Regions from separate parts of the Mus musculus genome. Here regions 2 and 3 are each reported to be linked to region 1. The links are microRNA targets in miRTarBase. Many come from high-throughput screens and were not tested one by one. Region 1 holds a microRNA gene; each other region holds the end of a gene's coding sequence.

Region 1 (7,198 bases):
GAGGTTCATAAGGTTCTTGTTCAGTTTCACCCCTTTGGGGGATATGTTGAAGCCCAAGATTTCAGCGGTCTGGCGATGGAACTGAGTTTTGTCCAGTGAACAGTAGATGTTGTGATACCGAAAGCGGACCAGGACTTGGCGGACATGCTGGGAGTGTTCCTCCTGGCTCATTGAGTAGACCAGGACCTCTCTGCCATGGCAAATCACAAACAACCCTAGGATGTCTTTTAGGATGAAGTGAACAATGTTGTTCCCTTCGTCAGAGTATGAGTTCATTGTGAAGGGCCGGTAGCATCTCATCTGGTGAAGGCCGAAACCGAACGATGCTCTCCAAGTGTCTTCCGTGTGTGTGACCGTGTGCCTCATCTCACTTTCCTTAATCCCAAGCAGCTCCAGTTTTGTGAACCATGCCGCTCCATGTAGCTGGTCGAATAGCTCTGGTACCATCTGCGTGTAGTCTTGTCTGTCAGTCAGCATGTCATACAGTATCCAGTATTCCTCTTGCTCCCTGGCTTTCTCTTGCTGCCTGGCTTTCTCTTGCATCCTGGCGCTCACAGGTTCCAAAGTCTCTCGGGCCCCAGACTCGTAAAAGACGCCGCTTTGATCACTGTCTCCAGCCTGCTGAAGCTCAGAGGGCTCTGATTCAGAAAGATCATCGGATCCGTCTGAGCTTGGCTGGTCGGAAGTCTCATCATCTGCCTCCCTCGGGTTAAACACGTCGGCCAGGTCTGAGTATGTGTGTGGCAATCCGGGCAGTAGGCTTATGCTGTATGTCTCTAGTGCGATGCATGGTGGAGGTGGGGTGAAGCAATTCCGCAGACAGTAGGGAGAGTGGAAGGTACACCGGCCTCTCATCCAGTCGACTTCAGGGGCATGGGTTCGGAGCCACTTCATGCCTAAGACGATGGAGAAGTTGGGCGAAGGTAAGATGTCAAATTCGATGTACTCATAATGCTTCTGGTGGACACATACCAGGGGCTCGGTGCACAGCCAGACGGGTTCATTGCCAATTGGGATGCCATCCACACCTTGGATTATCTGTGGATAAGGCTTCTCATAGAGTTCCACATAGTGTTCCTGGGCAAACCTCTCATCCATGTAGTTCCCTTCTGCTCCTGAGTCCACCAGGGCCCGCACTGCGACACTGTGGTAGGGGTCCACTCTCACCAAGAGCAGTAAGAAGAGGTGATCGCGATCAATGTCTGGGTGGAACTCATTGGGCAGCCAGCTGCTTACCCTCCACTTCTCTGGGGCGGGAGCATCCATCCAGGCTACGCTTCTTGGGCGCGACTCAGGTGGCAGCCTGAGTAATGCTCTTCTCTCTGCCAGCTTTTCTTCAAGTTGCAGGACAAGTACAATCAGGTTGTCTAGGGAATTCGGCTGAGGGATCCGGAACAGATAGTGCCTGATCTCTTCGTTGAGCCCCTGGCACAGGTGGGCCTGCAGGACTTCATCTGGCCAGCCTAAGGTGGGTATCAGACCCCGGAACTCATTGATGTAATCGGCCGCACAGCGGTTCCCCTGCCTGATGTTGAACATGGCGTCTTCCGCCACACGCAGGGTCTGCCGATACTCAAACTTTTCTGACATGGCCTCCAGGAAGGCTGAGAAGTTGTTTATCACTGGGCTGTTCTGCTCTACGAGGTCGTTGGCCCATTCCAAGGCTAGGTCAGTCAGGTGGCGGATGACGAATTTCACCCGCAGCTCATCATTGTATAGCATACTTGGGTAGTTCTGCATTGTCATCTGGCAGAGCACGACAAACTCATGGTAGTCTCTGCGATCTCCAGAGAAGGGCCTGAGGGAGGGCAGGCGACCTTCGTTGATAGCCTGCATCATGAGCCTTTCTGCCACTCTCTGTTGTTCTTTTAGGTCTTGCATCCGGAGGAACAGCGAGATGACGTTCCCCATGGTGGCCACGACTTCTTCTGGAGAGTTCTTGGGCTGACCTTCCTCTTCACCACCTTCCTCTTCCTCCTCTTCCTCGTCATCTCCCAGGTCAGTATCATCTTGGTCTGACTGGGTCTCGGATGAGTTGATTGTTTCATCCATGCTATAATCGGATGCCTCACTGAGTGGTTCCGACCCTTCCTGGTTTGAAATATCACTTGACTGGTTTGAACTGTCGCTTGACTCCTGGTTCGAATTATCGCTTAACTCCTGGTTTGAATTATCACTTAACTCCGGGTTTGAATCATAGCTTGACTCCTTTTGTGAACCATCGCTGGACTCCTGGTTTGAACCACCGCTTGACTCCAGGTTGGAAACATCGCTCGACTCTGGGTTTGAACCAAAGCTCGACTCATGGTTTGAACCATTACTTAATTCGTGGTTTGAACCATCACTCGACTCCTGGTTCGAACCATCATCACTTGATTCCTCCATGTCTTGGGGTAGATCGTTAGATGATGCCTCACAGGGGTCGCTGGATGGCTCCTCCACTTCCCGGAGTAGATCAGTGGGTAGCTCTTGCATTTCCTGGTAGGGGCCACTGGATGGCTCCTCCACTTCCCGGAGTAGATCAGTGGGTAGCTCTTGCATTTCCTGGTAGGGGCCACTGGATGGCTCCTCCACTTCCCGGAGTAGATCAGTGGGTAGCTCTTGCATTTCCTGGTAGGGGCCACTGGATGGCTCCTCCACTTCCCGGAGTAGATCAGTGGGTAGCTCTTGCATTTCCTGGTAGGGGCCACTGGATGGCTCCTCCACTTCCCGGAGTAGATCAGTGGGTAGCTCTTGCATTTCCTGGTGGGGGCCACTGGATGGCTCCTCCACTTCTTGGAGTAGATCAGTGGGCAGCTCTTGCATTTCCTGGTGGGGGCCACTGGATGGCTCCTCCACTTCTTGGAGTAGATTAGTGGGCAGCTCTTGCATTTCCTTGAGGGGGCCACTGGGTGGCTCCTTTTCTTCCTGGGCTGGGCCACTATCTGAGCCCGCCTGGGCCTCAACCTGGGCCTCAACCTGGGCTTCAGCCTGAGCCTCCGCCTGGGCCTCCACCTGGGTCTCCGCCTGGGCCTCCGCCTGGGCCCCTGCCTGGGCCCCCGCCTGGGCTCCACTGCTGCCTGGTGTCTCTTCAACGGTGTTGGATGAGCCCTCGGAGGACTCCATTTGTTTTGATGATGGATTCTTAAGCTCCATCATCGTCTCAAATGAGTCTTCAGAGGGTTCTATCATGTCGTCGGTTGGAAAGGAGTGTGCTCTGAAGACTGGTAAGATTGTGATGTGTGTGGTCAGAGACCGCAACTGTGGAGACCAAAACCTAGGGACAGAGGGATAAAAGACAGGAGAAAATGTAGCAATTTAGGTTCTCAAGATGGCAGGGTCAGATTCTATCTCAAGGACAAAGCAGATGCCAAGTTACTAGAATCAGAGAGAAAATGGAGAAATTCCTCCTGCATTCAGTTCAGCCTCCTTTTCTGGTTACTTGGGGCACCTCCAGGGGAAAGACCGTCACCCCCTGACCTGCCTTCCAGGCGGAGTCTGACTACCCCACCTGCCTACTTCCTCTAGTGGAATGAGAAATTCACAGCCCATAAATTTTGTGGAGCAACTGGCCTGGAGCGTCCTCTGTGGCGAGCTAGCACCTGGCAGGGCACACTTCTGGCCCGCTTTGCCCTGGCCAGGTTCCCTTCCCATTTGTAGTCACCCAAAAGTCATAAAGGTCACATCTCAATGCCACTCAAAGCGGCTGCTGGCAGGCTTGGTGGTCTAGAGCCAGCCCAGTGAGCTTGGTTGGAGGCGGGAATCTGCAGGGAGATGCCTGCTATTTCACAAACTGGGGAAAGAGGAGAAATTGGGCACTTGGCCACTATCCTGCCAGTTGGGTCAACAGCCAAAAATAGCTCTTATTTCCTCCTCTAGGCTCCAAGCCGAAATAAGTGAGAGAGAGCCATGGCTTTTGGTTTTAATTTTGCTCCCCATAAATGTTTATAAAATGCCTACTATGTGCTGAAAACATGCACTTTCATGGCTTCATCCTAGGTCACACTTTGTGCATATGCAGGATAAGAGGGGGGTGGGGGAGGGATAGTATCATTTCTCTTGTTCGGTTTGATCTCTGTCCAAAGCCACGTTTTCTCCAGCTCTGAGCTGAGTCGGAGCTTTCTAAACACCCTTTCCCGGGCTTTCAAAAAAACTGTTCTCCCAGGATTGCCTGGTCTGCAGGGCTCCTGCAGCTTTAAACATCTGGCCTCAATTCTGCTCATGCAAACATTTCTGCACGTCTCACAAATGCTATCTTTCCAAGTTTCTCCTCTGCTTCGGCAGGAGCAGGGTTTTCGTTCTCAAAAGTGCCCCCCCCCCCTTTTCTGTCACTGTTGATTTCGTCTGGTACAGGGGTATATCTAACAGAGGTATGAAGTTGGGTGAAAGGGGGGGCATGGGACCTTTGAAATCTGATTGTTCCGTAATTTTTGAAAATCTAGCCATGGAGGGTTTAGTGCACGGAAATTGAATTTAAAGGGATGTATTGGTTTGCAAAACAAATTAAGCTAGTTATTCAATAGCTCAGCCATATAGCTATTGTCTTTATGAATTCTGCACCTTCTGTTACTTCTCAATTTTCTTTTTTAAGGTCACTGGGCTGACCTATCCAAAAACAGAAACACACACACATACACACACAAAACCAAATAAACAGAAATCTCCCATGTTGTCATTCATGTAAAACTCCCGTTGGCCATCCTCCAAACCTTGCAGCAGGATGCTTTTGGGTCTGCAGTTTCTCAGAATTAGACATCTCCTTGTTAGCATGACACTTAAATTCGATCATGCAACCCCTCTGATTAAAGCCTCTCACTGTTTATTTACTGTCGGCAATATTAAATCCAAACCTTTTATATAAACATGTCTGACATGTAAACTTACCAAAAAAAAAAAAAAAAAAAAAAAAAAACTCCTGGCTGAAATTGAAAGGCCTTAGCATAATGTCCACGTTGGGCTTCTCATTCCTAGAACTGGAGATCACAGGTCCTGAGCCTGCTGTACAGACCATCAGCTCAGAAACATGCACAGCATATTACATAAATCAACTTATTTCCTCTTTCAGGAAAAGTCGTCTATTATTAAAATATAAAATTTGACTAATTCATCCCCAAGTTCATCTGCGGGACATAAAAATCTCAGCAGGTCTCCACCTAAAAATTGCTCATGGTTTCAATTTTTAAATTTGCAGCAATCCGATTTTAAAGCTAAATGATACCCGTTCTAAATAAAATGCCTATACTTAAAATATTACAGACAAATTTGATCATGTAAGGGATTAGATATTTCTGCTTTCCAGCCCTCAACCAAAAATCTCTTGTCCTAAAAATTTTAATATGCCTGGATATCAGAATAAACCTTTAGTTGAGATAAACAATTTTCATCTTATGATTTTCCTATTTAACGCACACATATTCACATACACAGACATTTCTTTTCTTTACCATGAAGTTCCAGTTGCTTAGCATAAATTATTTTTAAACCATGTGATTTAATCAACATAATCAATACAAAAACCCACAGTTTCACAGGCCACAATAAAACATCTTTGACAAAGTCCAAAGCTATTGTATGGTAACAAATGTCGAGCTTCCTGCAACATGCATGTACTTATGTTCTGCTTAACGCCTCACAAAGTCTCTGCCTCACCTATGGAGACCAAGTCTTAAAGTATGATCATAAAGCCATACGTTTCTCAGCAGACTGAGACTATCCAACATGCAAAGCTCATGATATCACTCTCCTAAAAATCTCATCGTGGCTGGCATCCAAATTCTTCAGCATGGCATGAGAGGACTCCTCACACCCCTCACCACCGTGTCGAACCTGACACGCTATGTAAATGTCATTCAACCTCTCATCTGGAGGTCACCCCATTTCTCTGCACAAAAAGAAAAAAGTCCCACTGGATGCCCTGGTACTGAGGGGGCCAGTGGACAGTCACCCACGCAGTAAACAGCACACCAAATCCACATACCTTAGCATAAAAACACGCTTCAACATCATCAGATTCCTTTGAACACAAAACTCTTCACCATTTCACTCCTTAAAATCCTTCCTTGGCCAAACTCCAAGCATCCCGCAGCACCCCCCGCCCCCATGCAAAAGGATCAGAAATGATATCTCACCCCTCACTCAGGATGCAATAGTGCCTTCAGTTTGCACATGGGTCAAATCTCCTAAATATATTACAGTGTCCACTCCCTTCTCTGCTGAATTCACAGGCTGTAAGGAGTCACTCCCAGATTTAAAACGTTGCAAAGTTTCTATGTAGCATGAAGCTCCAAATTCTTAACAGACAGTACAGGATCTTATCATGTCACGTACCAAAAAAAAAAAAAAAAAAAAAAAGAAAGAAAGAAAGAAAGAAAGAAAGAAAAAGAAAAAAAAAAAAAGAAACCAACAAATCTCCCATCACACTTTGAAGCCGTTTGTTGGCTCAAGTCCAAACTTACTCAAGTGATATTATAATCTGATACGTCATCCCTTAGAATAAAATTCGCACGTCTTAGCACAGTTCATTAAATTTGAGCTTGTGACCCCACCTTAAAAACTCGGCAATGTCTCTTAATTGTGCAGGACATAAAAAGTCTAGATTCTTGGCATGCGGCGAGAATTTGATTTCATAACAGAGCTATGTTATATCTATCAAACACAGAAAACTCACCATGTCACTCCGTTAGAATTGGATAAATCAAATTTTTAAACATGTGCAAAAACCTCATCACGTCTGAGCCTCTAAATAAATTCCAAACTTCTCTGCATAGTCCCCAACTCGGCCATGTAACTCCTCTAATTGAAACCTTTCCTTGGTGTCTACATTAATCATAGCTCCTTGGCTTGCCCTGAGAGTCAAACTTTGGCATTCTCTCCACATAGAAAGTCAGAGTGTTTGGGCACGATCTTAAATGTGTGCCTGTTCACTTTCCTAGTTATGATTTCTCGGTGTTTCTTGTTGCTTGTAATAATAAAGTCCAAAGCTGTTAGCCATAAAATATGTTTTATCATTCATTCTACAAGCTTATCTCCCACAAGCAAGCAATCTCACCATTAAGTTTTTTTTTTTTTTTAAAGCCTTTTGGCAGAAGCCCAAAGCCCTTAGTGTGATAGAAATTTTTGATTTCTCAAAATAAAGTCCAGATTTCTACCCCAGAAACTTAAATTGATTCACAAAACTCCCACTTAAAATCTTCTCCTACATTTCCAGTAACACTGAAAC
Region 2 (7,198 bases), not on the chromosome of region 1:
AGCATGGGTATCTTGTATTTTATGGCTAACATCCACTTATTAGTGAGCACAAACTATGCATGTCCTTTTGGGTGTAGGTTACCTCTCTCAGGATGATATTCTCAAGTTCCATCCATTTGCCTGTAAAATTGATGATGTGTTTATTTTTGATAACTGAATAGTGTATTCCATTGTGTAGATGTAGGACATTTTATCTATTCTTCAGTTGGCAGACATCTAGATTGTTTCCAGTTTCTGGCTATCATGAATAAAGCTGCTGTGAGCATAGTTGAACAAGTGTCTGTGGTATAGTGGGGCATCTTTTGGGTATATGTCCAGGTGTAGTATAGCTGGGTCTTGAGAGAACTCGTCCCAGTTTTCCGAGAACCTGGCAGATTGATTTCCCAAGTGGCTACAATTTTGCACTCCCACCAGAAGTGGAGTAGTGTTCCCCTTGCTCCACATCCTCACCAGCATGTGCTATCACTTGAGTTTGTGATCTTAGCCTTTCTGATAGGTATAAGATGGCATTTCAGATTTGTTTTTATTTGCATTTCCCTGATGACTAAGGACTTTGACTCTTTCTTTAAGTGTTTAAGTGTTTAATCATAGAGATCCAGAATTTTGTCAAATGATATATCTTCATCTATTGGGACAAATCCTATGATTTTTTTTCTTTTATTATGTGGTATACTAGTTGTCCCATGGTGAAATATGTGAATAGCATGATTCTTTTAAGATGCTTAAGCCCTCATAGCAGTGCCCCTGATTTAGTAGCTTTTAAACTAAAACCAGAATTTTGTCAGCCTTCCCCATCACACTTGTGTTTTGTCTCTACCATAATTATCTAATTATTATGACAGAAGCCTATCTTTTTAAAAAATTGATTGTAAAAATTATATTTGTATAAATGTGTGTGTGCCAACATATGTACCCATACTAACTTGTAGGTATGTAACTGTACCTAACTTGGCGACTTTTAGAAATAACCCAGATAAAACCATCTTTCCTCCCAGGCAATTCGAAGCTTTCAAATAGCCCTGCACATATATCCGATGAACCCTGAACTCTGGAAGGAAGACCTTTCTTGGGCCAGAAAGCTCCAAGAACAGCAGAAAGTAGCCCAGAGGATTGAAAACAAAGAAATGCCCCCGGAAGGCCCGGACCTCTCTCCAGGGTCCATCCCGGACTATGACTTTGAAAGCGATGAGATTGTTGCTGTTTGTGCAGCCGTGGCAGAAAAACAGAAGTCGGTGTCTGCAAATAAAACAATGGTTATTGTGTCGGCGTCTGGGACTGTAGAGATCGTAAACGAGAAGGAAGAGGGCTCTTCCACCCCAGATGGCTCCGTCTTTATCAAAGCCCGGTGAAGCCATACACAATGGAGAGATGTTTGAATCTTTTTTTTTTTGTTGTTTGCTTGTTTGCTACTTAATGTTTTGATGACATAGGATATGCACTGTGGAGGAAGAGGGGGAAAAAAGAAATCCTGTTTTAAAACGATTTTTTAGGTGAAACATAGAAAAATCAAGTTGTGGAATTATTCTTCAGTGAGCGGACTATGCTTCTGTAACTTCAATATATATACTTAGAGTTAGCATCTTACGTGAAATGTGTTCTGATCGATAAGCATTTAATTTGACTGTATGGGAAAGTACCCTTAAAGGCACAGTTTGGAAAGTGTGTTCTTGAATAGTGTGTCTTGACAGGCGTGTTACTACAGTGCCGACATGGAGACTTTGCTTTGTGATAAAGGAAGTGTGCGGTTTCTTTCCCTCCTGTAAATCTGCTGTTGTCATTCTCCCATTTTTCTTGCTTCACCAGTGTAAGTTTTCATCAAGATTGAATATTTCTGACATTCTTTTGGATTCAAAGTTATTGCTTTGTTATATGTGAATATTTGAAATATTTCAAGTTTGCCTAAAAATGCATGCAGATGTATGTGTCCTGAACATTTCTTTGAAGGTTTCGTTGTTCTTGTTGTTGTGCTAATGTTCTAATTTGTGCTTCTGTTTTGACTTTAAAGTTAAAAAGTGCTAACTGTCTTCTTCAGGACTTGATAACTGGATACTGGTGTGTCAGAGATGGATTCATTTTACTGTCAAGATTGAGTCATCTTTACCACAAGTCAGTCCTTTGTCAAGATGAATGGCATTTGCAGATTGTCAGTAAAGTCTATTTCTGCATTATCCTGGTCAAAAAAGTTTCTTTCCTTTTATTCTTTTAGGGGAGAGGCTAAGTACCCCAGAGCGCTGGATTAGCACCTGCCCGAGCTGCATCCTCAGACCTCTTTCTTATTTTTGAAAGTGTGAAGAAGCTTGAAAACATTTCTTGTCTTTAGCCCATGCTAGCCTCAGGGTTATCTTCCTGCCTTAGCATCTAGACTGCTGGGAATACAGGTATGATCTACCACTGCTGACAAATACTTCTTGCTTGTAACTTTGCAGTGAACAATTTATAAACATCTTTCTAAACAGCTTTTTTGGGAACTGTTCAGTGAAATGAAAAAAAATAGTTACAATTTCAATTAAGTATAAAAGTAAAAAGAGAGAGTTCTTAGAGTGTCAGGGTGTGACTGACGGGGAGCTGGGATGTGATGAATAGTGTAATCCCACAAATACGGGACGGGTGTGGTAAGGAGGCAGCTCAGTGTCAGGAGTGGTAGCAGAGGCCTGTAATCCCAGCACTGAGGAGGCTAAGGCAGGAGAGTTGTAAGTTCAAGGCCAGCCTGGGCAACATAGTAAGCCCTTGCCTCAGAAAAAAGCAAAATCGGTGGGAAAATAAAACAACACAAGAAAAAGTTTATTAGAGATTCTCAGTCACAGTCACAAATCAGTACTATTATTGCTATGAGTTACTGTTTTTGTTGCATATATTATAGTGCAAGTATATGCAGTTTACTTATATATATGCATATATAGTGCAAGCATATGCAATATACTTATATATATGCATATATAGTGCAAGCATATGCAGTATACTTATATATATGCATATATAGTGCAAGCATATGCAGTATACTTATATATATGCATATATAGTGCAAGCATATGCAACTGTTAGGTGCTGTTCATTCTGATGCTCAGGCAGTTATTATTGATGTAACTTTTTTTTTCTTTCAGAGATACAAATTATCTCAGTTGTATTATGTAATCTTAGCAAAAACTGTTGTGACATATAAATGTGCTCTGTATTTTTATGAGGATGGTATTTTTGAAGTATTTTAGAGGAATGTTCACTAGTTTTTTGTTTTTTTGTTTTTTGTTTTCAGAGTTAGAGAATCAGCAGTTTTCTTAAGAAGTATTATATACCGCCCTCCCCAATTATATCTTCAGATAATTAGCCCCTGGATAGAAGAGAGTTTTAGAATGACTAAAAAAATTATTTTGTTAAATAACAAGGGATATTCTCAGAGAGTACCTAGATGCCAAGAGAATTGATATGTTACATACAAATACCTGTTTATTATATAATTTGTGAATGGTTTTCCCTCTGTTTTGGAGATTTTCCTCTTAGATTTTGACAATTAGATTTGTATATCTTTTTTTTTTCCTGTGTAGAAGTATATGTGAGCCACTTGGTATGGCCCCTTACACATGCTAGCTAGCTAGTTCTAGGAAGAACTTGTCTTAGTTCGGAAATACTTCTCACTTCTTCAGAATTTTGAAAAGATTTTTATAGTCTTTTATCCGAATGAAGTTACTGCTTGTGAAACTGAAAGATGGTTGTCAGCTAGAGATTGTTCTTAGCGTAGAGTCTGTGCCTCTACCTCCAAAGAGGCAAGCCCACACGTGGCCTGCATGTTGCTGCTGCTGAACCTGTTGTTTCAACTGTCCTGGAATTGGCGGGTCATGCTGGTCTTTCTGTTACCCCAGTATAAGGTACAACATAGATGTAAGATGTGGGGGAGGGAGAATGAGTTACGAAGAAAAAAGAAAGGTTCATTTCTCCAGACCCCAAAAGATACTTTAGCTATCATTCCGTGTAGGAAGCTAAACATGCATCCATTGTTTTGCTGGGGTGTGAGCAACAGTATATAAAAGTTTACTAAAGCTGTTAATTCTAATAACACTCGAATTTTATGAATCTGGAGAAGATGATACTCATAATGATATAATTATATTTAATGGATGATCATAAACAACAGTGTTAGTGATTAAAATTATATTGAATATGGATTTGTGTTGTTCTGGTTTCAAAATTTATATGCTATAGATACTTACTCAAGTGTTACACGTCGAGACCATACGTGTAAACTTGAGACTCGTGATACCTCCAAGGATGCAGGTGCCCAGGGTACAAAGCATTGTATCGTAATTATCTGACAGTATTGGGAAGTTATAAGAGAGGCATGTCAGAGCTCATGTGTACTGCAACCAGAGCCTTTGGACAAAGCAGGATGTGATGGCATAAGCATGCAACTATTTTAAATCGCTGTTAGCTCAAACCAGTGAAGGAGTTGTTTTAGAAAACTGGTATTTTCATGATTGTATCAGGACAGCTCAGCCCTGTCCGCTTGCAGATTATGCTTTGCACGGTGACTCACAGGCTGGCTCCTCTTTCCCAGCAATAAGAGAATTAATTATTAATCAGCTTTTACATTTCCTTCAGTCAGAAACCCTTCAAACCCCACTTTGTAACAGACATCCTAGGCTGGGGTTTCATGACATAGCGTATGTCTGAATGATTTAGGAGCTAGCACAAGAACCACAGTCATCATCTTCAGCGTGTGTGCTAAAACGGGATTTTCTGAGATGAGTTTATGATTGCTGGCATTGTAGGTTAGAGAAACTCACTTCTAAAACCAGTATTAAAGCAGGGCAGTTTGTCAATTACCCCTTTACAGAAGTAAGTTTAAATGAAATGAAGATTTTTATCTGAAATTGTGTCCCTTAACCACGTGCAAAATTGACTAGGGCTACATTGAATGAATGTAAGAGCCATGGTGTCCCTTTGGCTATATTCAGTTCCTTGTGAGTATTAATGTGTGAACTGCCTATGTTGTACTTGGAGGGTGGTGGGAAAGCTAACCAATGTGAACCTGTTGGGCAAGCAGGTAAGCAGGTTAGGTAGGAATGAATTCCTTTCATTTTGCTTCTTAGACCAGCCAGTGACCAAGGAATCCTGCTCAGCCTCCCACCTCCCAGGGAGATGGAGGACAGGATGTACTGGTCTGGTTCTCCTGTTTCTCTGGGTTGGTCACGGCTCCTTCCAGCTGCATTGTAATGGGGAGCAATGAAAAGGAGGGGATGGGTGGGGATGGAGGTGGGGGGTGGGGGAACAGCACCCGTGCTTCAGAACTGCCAGTACATCTGTGAGGTCATCTGGCATAACCTGCATGTCCCCAGCTCTTCCCTTAGGTAGGTCAGAGGCCAAAAGGACTCTTTTAAATGCTAGGATTGGCTTTGGGCTCACATAGGATCATCTAAGACCCCCTTAAATACCAATAAAGACTGTATTTCAAAGCAAGCATGAAATTTAGTAAAAACAAAATGTGAAAATCCTAATTTTTGCTTTCTTTTATTTTTTTAAAGTTGTGGAGGTTTTATTGAAAATGAATGATGTTTGTTACAAGACAACAGAAAGATTTGCTAACATTACTAAAAGGTCTACTGCTTGGAATAGTAGTAATGCGTAAAGCTGAAGGGGGGAATGTGGAGTGAGTTATAATATCCTGTACCCACCTTTGTCTTTTCTTAAGTGACTATAATTTAAATATAGGGAACAGCAACCACTTTAAGTTTGCTGATGGTGCATCTCCACCGTCACTGCCACCACGAGTAGTTCCCCATCCACCCAGAAAGTCTCCAACATTTTATGCATTCTAGTTCGCCTGCACCCAGGACCGTCTGCTTTCCGTGCTGTCAGTTAGACTGTACTTTATAGGACTACAAACACATAGACTGTACACTTGCACTCTTATGCCTGGCATGGTTTGCTGAGCACAGTGTATGTGATCCGTGTTAGTGCGTATGTCAGCAATGTTGTCTGCTCTGTTCCTGAGTATTCTCTTGTAGGAATATACAACAGCTTACTATTGAACGTTTCGGTTGTTTTGCTTTATTCTGAGTAAAGCTGCTATGTACAGATTATTCATTCTGTTTATGGACACATGTATTACTTTCTTTATCTTAAATGGATACAACTCCTGTTGTTTGTACAGCTTACATGAAACTTTTAAAGGTCTCCCAAATTATTTCCCAAAGTTTGCCTTATTTTGGATTTACGAGCAGCTGCTGAAGAGTTGTTCATTTTCTGATACCTTTGTCAATCTTGGTATCGTTCATCTTTATTATTTTAGACAGGCTAGTGGTTGTTATATTTTAAGTCTGTATTTCCCTGGTGATGTGGGGCTGCATTTCTTCCTTTTTTCTCCTCTTTTCTGACACAGTGCCGTGTGTTCTGGCTCAGGCAGCTGTGAACTTGCCACACAATTAGGGACGAACTTGAGCTACTGATCTCCCGTTTTCTTCCTTTCAAGCTTTGACAGTAGAGGCGGTGTGGCCCATCACACCGGGTTTATATGATGCTGGAGACTGAGCGCCAGGACAGGTAAGCACTTCTGGTTGGCCTGCATCCCAGTGCCTGCTGCTGTTTTTCATGGACGTACCTGACATTATCTTTTGGGGAGAAGTATAGATTCAAATTTCCCCATTTTAAATTTTGATTTCTTTACTCCATTTTACAACTAACACTGGATAAGAATTCTTTATGAGTTACTGTTGTGAATATTTTCTCTCCTCTGTAGTTTTCTTCAAACACTATTCAGAAAGTAGACACGTTAGACTTTGGTGAAGGCCGGTATAAAGGGGTTTTCTCTTCTTCCATTTCGTGCTGAGAGATCAATTCTTAACTAAGTCACAAGGAATTTCTGTATTTTCTACTATATATTTTCAGCTTTGCTTTTTATGATCAGTTTTGTTGTTTGCTAAGTTCATTTTATATGTGATAATAGTAAAATCTGAGGTTTGGTTTTTGATGTCTAGCACTGTTCATAGAAAAACAGTTGTTTCCTACCTGGCATAGGCCTGTCATCTTAGTACTTGGGAGCAGAGGTGCCATTGTGGTATCCAAGACAGCTGGAGCAAGACCTGCCTCAGAAAATAAGCAAGTACATAAATTAATTAATTAATTAATTATGTCTTTTTGTGATAAGGTACACAGTTACTATACAAATGTTAAGTCAATTACATTTCTAGGATACATTTTTCTGAGTCAT
Region 3 (7,198 bases), not on the chromosome of region 1:
ACTGTGTCCCTGCCATGTGAACTCTGCATCTGACTTGAGTCTTGTGCTTCAGTCAACACACACACACACATACACATACACACACACACACACGGACAGTGAAGAACCTGCTCTGTGGGGAGATGCTTGTGAGACACAGGTGCCTACAACCTGCAGCGCTCCACAAGTCTACAACGCTAGCATTGGTCATCTTACAGGGAACCAGATCTCTGCGCTGAGATTGTCTGGAGTTTCACACCAGGTGACAGGCTGGATGCCACGGGACTCAAACATCCCCAAAGCCCAACCTTTCTAATCCTTCATCTCCAGATTTCCTAGGCAATCTCCAGCTAGAAACAAAGGGAGACCTCCCCTGACCCACCAGCGTCCAGCCATGGCTGGAGCCCTTGGGAAAGGCTCATTCTTCAATGGACGCTCATTGGCTCCAAGCTCCCAGCAATGCCCTTGACTCTCAAAAGATACAGTCTTGTGGCCATTGCCTGGACACCCACCTTCCATTTTCAAACGAAATGGTCTTTTAGCCAATGGAAATACAGGTTCATTTTAGAAAACTCAAAAAAGTAACAAAACCACCCGCATAACTCGGCATCCTTCCCAGGCCTCCCGAGTTCTTCCATCGTGTCTCCCTGGTTCCTAAGGCCCCCCACCTGAACATCTCTCCTGAAACTCACTGCCAAGAGACAGGTGCCATCTTACCCTCTTCATTCTGTGCTGAGCTGCACAATGAGAGTTAAGGACATTGACAGTTCCCAATGAGGACAAGATGTTAGCCTGGCTTACTGCAGAACGGTTGTAGGCAGTCAGCACTTGTAAGACTACGAACAATAAGATGCTTTCCAGCATGTGGTAGTGCCATTCTGCAGAGTTAAATTACTGAGCTGTACATGCACATGAGATCCGCTGTCCTTGATGGACCAATCCGAATGTGGAGCTGGTAGGAAAGACTGCATGTGAGCAGGTAATCAGGTACACTGAAAGGGGAGGCTAGACCACAGCCCTTCTGTGGCACTGTGTGGCAAGCCACCAGGCTCGGGCAGTGTTCGCTAGCTTGTAGGTAGCCATGGAGTAGTGCAAGCAAAGGGCCATCAGTGTGGACTCCTGGGCCAATGTCCTGGGTTCAAATCTGACCCTGACTAGTGAATGGTGCCACTGTCGTGCTTTCTGGGCTGCCCTTGTTTCCACATGGGATGTTAGGAAGACCACACTGGAAATGGTAAGGCAGCATCAGGAATTCAGTGAAGGCACTACTGCCTGGGGACAGCTGTGCCATGGACCCAAGCCCAGAAGCTGACATACTGAATCAAACAGGAGTTTCTGGGAGCTGAAGAGCAGCTCCAGTTCCTCTTTCAGAGGACCCAAGTTCAATTCCTAGTACCCACATGACAGCTCACCTTGGGGTTGTCTTAGACCTGAGACAATTTCCTCTTTCTCTTCCTCCTCTTCCTCCTCCCCCTCCTCCTCTCCTCCTCTTCTGTAATCCCAGCTCCAAGAGATCCAATACCCTCATACAGGCAGATAAAATAAAACAAAGTACATAAAATAGAAAGGATTTTTAAAAAAAAAAAAATTCAGAACTGGCCATAGTGAAGTTTGACCCTTGGCCTTAGCCATCAAGTGGCCCTGAGCTCCATGGGGTAGTAGCCTCCCTCACTGCTCAACCTGTATCTGCACCTATCTTACACAGCATTCATGAACTGAAATGGGGGCCTAAACTGGTGCCAGAAAAAAAATGTTATTTGTGGGGTCATAGTTTTTACTTCATATAAACCTGATGGGAGCCAACACAAGGTTTTACATGGAGTTCTGGGAGTTAACACAAGTGGCGAGACACACACACACACACACACACACACACACACACACACGAAGATCTAGAAAATTTGAATGGGTGAGGAGTATGAATTGCTTATCTCCTAACACACAGTGAACACTTGATACAAAAAACCCCAACGGCAGTCTTGTTCTAGTACAAAAGGAAACCACGTTTATTGTACAGCAGTACTTTCCTAAAGTTGAGCTGTCTTAGGAAAACAATGTAATTTTAGGAAATTACAGAAGGGTCAACATTGTGCTTAAACTTCAAAACAGATTCAAAAGAACCTAGCACAGCAGGTGACTACTGCAAAGGACAGACAGCCTTAACCCACGTGCAGACCCAGTGCCCTGGAGGCGCCATCCAAACCCTAGGCTGGCTTCCAGGTGCCTTACCTCCGCAGCAAGCAGCTCCCCCTGAACTGCACCAGCCCTTCTGGGACACCCGTGTTCCCGTACCATAGTCACGACAAGGTGAAATTTAAAAACAAATTCATTTTGAGAAATGCCCTTGTGTTTATACTGAGGTTTAAGATGGTGCTCTGGGCTGTGTAGTACAAAGAAGGGGCACAGTGACACCTTCTCCACAAACCCCAGGGTACCCGGCCTCTACCCACGGTTCTAGTTCACAGCACCGCTGGACAAACAGGAAGGAAAGAGACCAGTTAGAATATTTTCCTCAAGTAAAAAGCCAAAACCATGACAATAAAGTTTTGTAAATAGGATTTGGGAACAATCAAGAGCAGATGACATAAAGAGTATTTTACTTAAATTTGTGCTTTTTTTTTCCCCTTACATGGCAGTATCTGCACTACAGGCATATATGGATATTTTGACTTTCTAAAGTGTCTGGTTGCTATCAAATTTGCATAAGAATAATTTGTTCTGATCAACCCTAGAAGAACAAGTTACTTCAATCAGGCAAGCAGGTGAGGTTAAAAAGTAAAACAAACAATCAGATCATAGATCATGTCCTAAAGGCTTGTCAGAAAACAGCCATGTGCTTCTGATCGGAGGCTCAGTGTTGTGTTGTTATTTTGTTATTATACAGTGTTGTGTTGTTATTTTGTTATTACACTGTGATGTGTTGTTATTTTGTTATACTGTGTTGTGTTGTTAATTTGTTATTATACTGTGTTGTGTTGTGTTACATTGTGGCTCCATATTACACTGTGTTGTGCTGTGTTGTGTTTGGATTCTGTGGCTCAGGTTTTAGTCTGTTCACCTTGAGGCATTAGTCTTTTCTTCTAGGAAAACAACTTTGTCTTCAGGGTTGTCCTCAGATTCTCATATTATTCCTTAAATGTTAAAGGCAAAAAAAACCCCAGGTTTTAAAGTTCATTTTTTTTAAAGATATCAAATAGTTATCCCAAAAAGGACTTTAATTGCTTTGTCATTTCTCAGAAAAACAAAAAACAAAAAACAAAAGCTATGGACACATTTGAAACTTAAGATCTTGGTTAGGTAAGAAAAGTATACTCCACATTTAGTGGGATTACCCTGGTACCCAACAACCTTTCAAAAGTGGTAACAGTGCCAGAATCCCACAAAAACCTATCCACGTGGTCCAAGCCTAGCTCCAGGCAAGCATCCTATAAGGTCCAGATTGCAAGCTTTTGTCTCTCTCACTGTACAAGTGTTAGTCAAAAGCCTATTTAACACCACTGTGCTTACCGCCTACAGTGCATGTTGTGTCTAAGTATTTCTAAAGTGCCTATGAATACGCATATACAAATCAGCACTATAATATCAGGATTATAGAGAAATTCTTTCATAGAACAAAGAACAGAATAGGCCTAGAATTGTGGTTAAGCTATACAATTTTTTTATAGTCTCTTGAGCTGATTTCAGACTGCAAGCATAGAGAAATGATTCTGGCTTAGTCATATTTCAGACAGTTACTGGTATGAAGTCTGTTAGGAGGAGAAAACCAAAAACCTCTCGGCTGTGCTTCTTTAGAAAAGGCTGTTTGGAGATCCAAGAATGCAAGGGAACGTGTCCAATTTTATAAAACGGCAAGTGAAGCTTAGTGAATGTAGTTATAAAGTTGGTGCAAATATTTAATGTGATCACCAATTGTTATTAAATCCAAAAATCCCATCACAATGGTGGCAAGTCTGAGTGGCAGTTTCAGGGGTTTAGAAAACAAGACCCTGGACAGAAGTCACAGATGTTATACTAATAAAGGGACCAAGCCCAACACACAGCTAGCCTTCAGAACTTTGGCAATGACCGTGTGTTTTCATGGCTTTGGGGCCCGGGTTCTAGATCCCAGTTAGTTTAGTATTTGTGGCAGTGGCCCTGTAGCAAAAAAGTAGATAGGAAAGGTGCAGGAGTAAGTCCTGCCGTGTGTCTGCCTCTCCACCTCAGGGTCTGAGGATGGTGCCGCTGCTGCCCATCACAGCCACGAGTGCAGGATGAGGGATATGTGGCTCATGTGTTTCCTTTCCATGACAGTGAGGCACTACGACCTTCAGTTGGGCCCACCAGGTGTCACCAGACCATCCCAGGCCAGCAGAATGACCCCACAGCCAAGATATGGTGGCTCCCACCTGCCCTCCCTGTACCTGCTGGTCTTTGGTGAATCCTCACTCCCTGTGTCTGCTGGTCCTTGGTGTGAGTCCTTAAGTATGTGGGGAGAGGGAGGAGTTGCTACATTCTCATCTCACACAGGGCGTTTTAACTAATGCTTTCCAGAGGAAGGCATATATTCTGCCTTCTGAACACTGGGTGTTTGGGGATAGGCAGCCTAAAGAAGGTTCTAGTAGTAAGCACTGGGACTCCATATCCAACTAGGGAAGCAGATTCTTCCTTGCGTACATAGTGAAGAGCCCCCAAATGAGGAGGCCTAGGGAGCATGCTCTCCTTGCCTGCAGTACACACTAATGAGACAGAGGGATGTAGAGAGATGCTGATCACACAGCAAGGCCACAGTGCCTGCTCAGACAGCCAGGATCTGAGGCAGGTCTCCCTGCAGCCCTGGGACTCTTGTTTTATGACAGTATATTTTTAAAAGTCCCAGATTTGTACTATGCCTCACAGATATATTTGGGGAAATGGCAGATAATAAGATCACATGAGAATACACAGTTAATAGCAAATTAGGAACAGAGTTTTGAAGAAAGCTACATAAGAATTACTCACTATTTTGTGTGTGAGAGAGAATCCACACAATGTGTGTGGATTCCAGTGGAGTAAAGTGAAGAAGTGTTACATAAAACATCTTCCTGACTCAGCAGTGAGCTATTTCAACTGTTTTTGCATTTGCATAAAATCCATGCATCATACAAAATTCTAGTCCATTTCTCATCTAAGCCATTCTAATGCTTCATACAACCAAACGAAGCAGGATTGATCAAACCTATTAGATTCATTCCTAATCCCTAAAGGACTTCTGTCTCTTAGCATTTTCATGCTAACTAAAACTAGTGTGTATTTTTTCCTTAAGATGTCAGATGTGTTACCTCCTAACTCTAATACCTACGAAACCTAAATGCTTCTCCCTGAACTGCAAAACAATCAAGGGCAGTGGGCGCTGTAGAATCCACCTGGGGTCAGCTCAGACACGGCAGCCACATTCTCAGCCAGCCCAGGCCAACTCCACTCTCCTTCCCCTGATCCCATTATCCTCCTGGCTCAGCGAGCTGCTTGACTTGTGTCCTGTACTAAAATGTGGCCCCTTCGAGGTGAGAACCAGGACTGAGTCCTCCTGAATCCCAGCTGGACTGGACACAAACCCCAGAGACCCTTTCAGTCACAGATGCTGTGACATGGCCATCACCAGGAGTCAAAAGGGCCTCCAAGGACCTCCTAGAAGTAGCCGAAGCCACTCTTGTCCTGAGCCAATGTGGGTGGCAAACAGAAGAGCAAGGGAGGGAACAGTGGCTGCAACACTGTTTCCAGAAGTGAGCTGCTCCCCCACCCGGAAACCAACAGGACAGAGGTGTCACATGACACGCCAAAGGGAAGCTGAGCCTTCATCACGTAGGACAGGCTACTGGTAAAATATGGTTACTTCCACTCTGGGTAGCTCTTCCATTGGATACGCTGTGGTCACCACTGCTCTCAAAGTTCTCAGTGAAATTAAGGCTGGGTCACAACTCATGACACCAGATGCTACATAGAAAGCAAGATACAAAAGGAAACAATGTCGTTACAAGGTAATATAAGGGGACACTAAGCAGACCACTGGACTGCGACTGTTAGTAATATGCCTTGGAAAAGGCCAAGAGTATTGGAAAAGGACTCGTCCAATCAAAGAACAGAAGAGGCTCAGGGTGGACCTCCGGCCGCAGTTCCCAGCTGCCTACACAGTGGTCTCCATCGTTTCAATCACTTCCAGATCCGACTGCGATGGGGAGAGCAGGGTGCACTCATCGGGTTCCCAGCTGCTCTCAGGGCTGTAATCTTCTTCGGAACTCAGCTCCGCCCCTTCTTCTGTGTCCTCATCACAGGATTCCACATAGTGAGCCCCAATGGCGTTGATCCCCGAGTCCTCGGAACCGGAAGGGGAGGAGCAGTGACCCAGTTTCGGAGTGTCACTCTCTTTAGAAATTAAGGCATCGTGTGCAGAGACCTCCTCAGGGCTCATCTTCTGGGAGTGGGGCGCCTGCTGCTTCTGCACATAGCACATCTTCCCATTAATACATTTAACCTGATAGTTGTCGATGAAGAGATCGGAAATCATACAGTACCTTGGCGAGTCAGGGGGAAGCGGAGGCTGGAAGACAGACGCAAATTTCAAAAAGTGTTCAGTGAGCGAGACGGAGATTTGAATGGTGTTAGTCGGCTCTCGGGGCTTTGCAGGGATCTCTGTGCTTGGGAGCTGCTCCACGGGGGTCATAGGCTGATACACATATTTGCCTGTGGGACACATAAGATACAGCTGAAATATAGGCCCACCATGCAAACTCTATTAGGTAGCTGTGACAGTCTGGCTCTACAGAGCATGTTCTCTAACTATTTTGGTGACATCCAGATCAAACCAGTAACATCCCCGTCACTTGACAGCCCTCACATTCATGTATTAAATTCCTGATTCCCAAGCTGATGCTCATCTACATGAGATGGTAAAGTGGATGCCCCGTGGGTTTCATGTCCTTAAAGAAGAGGACAGCTTCTGTAAGGCAGATGAGTGTCCTCAACAGACAAGCACCCACTAAACTTTCATTAGACTTCCCAGCCTGGCTGAAAAAACAGATGTTAATTAAGCCATCTGGTCCATGGCAAGTGTGTATGTTCGTGTGTGTGTGTGTGTGTGTGTGTGTGTGTGTGTGTGTGTGGTGTGAGGGGTGTTTGTGTAGTATATGTATGTTTGTGGTGTGGATTGCGCTCTGTGGGGTGGAATGTGGGTGTGTTGTACACACAAGTGTGCAGGTGTACACAG

The links. Region 1 holds the annotated microRNA mmu-miR-136-5p (ACUCCAUUUGUUUUGAUGAUGG, at 3,099-3,120, shown strand). A microRNA usually pairs through its seed, bases 2 to 8, with sites in the 3' UTR of a target mRNA and lowers its output. Matches are read on the target gene's strand: a 7mer-m8 pairs with bases 2 to 8, a 7mer-A1 pairs with bases 2 to 7 and ends in A, and an 8mer does both.
Region 2: miRTarBase lists Ttc33 as a target of mmu-miR-136-5p. Seed matches in the 3' UTR shown: 8mer at 1,360-1,367 and 7mer-A1 at 1,710-1,716.
Region 3: the mRNA of 2510009E07Rik is a reported target of mmu-miR-136-5p. The part of its 3' UTR that is shown has no 7-base or 8-base seed match.

Annotation. Positions count from the first base shown.
Region 1 is chr12:109,592,233-109,599,430 of GRCm38, forward strand. Mir136 (microRNA 136) reads left to right here and starts at 3,095; the gene lies at 3,095-3,156. It overlaps Rtl1 (retrotransposon Gaglike 1), which reads right to left. Exons shown (of 2, transcript NM_184109.2): 2 at 1-3,256. The coding sequence starts at 3,171. It overlaps 6430411K18Rik (RIKEN cDNA 6430411K18 gen), which reads left to right. Exons shown (of 1, transcript NR_002848.3): 1 at 1-619. It overlaps Mir127 (microRNA 127), which reads left to right and starts at 614; the gene lies at 614-683. It also overlaps Mir434, Mir432 and Mir3071.
Region 2 is chr15:5,216,155-5,223,352 of GRCm38, forward strand. It overlaps Ttc33 (tetratricopeptide repeat domain 33), which reads left to right. Exons shown (of 5, transcript NM_026213.3): 5 at 996-2,182. The coding sequence ends at 1,349. Among named protein-coding and RNA genes, the nearest start is that of Ptger4, 24 kb to the right of the region's middle.
Region 3 is chr16:21,647,084-21,654,281 of GRCm38, forward strand. It overlaps 2510009E07Rik (RIKEN cDNA 2510009E07 gene), which reads right to left. Exons shown (of 2, transcript NM_001001881.2): 2 at 1,962-6,675. The coding sequence ends at 6,119. Among named protein-coding and RNA genes, the nearest start is that of 2510009E07Rik, 44 kb to the right of the region's middle.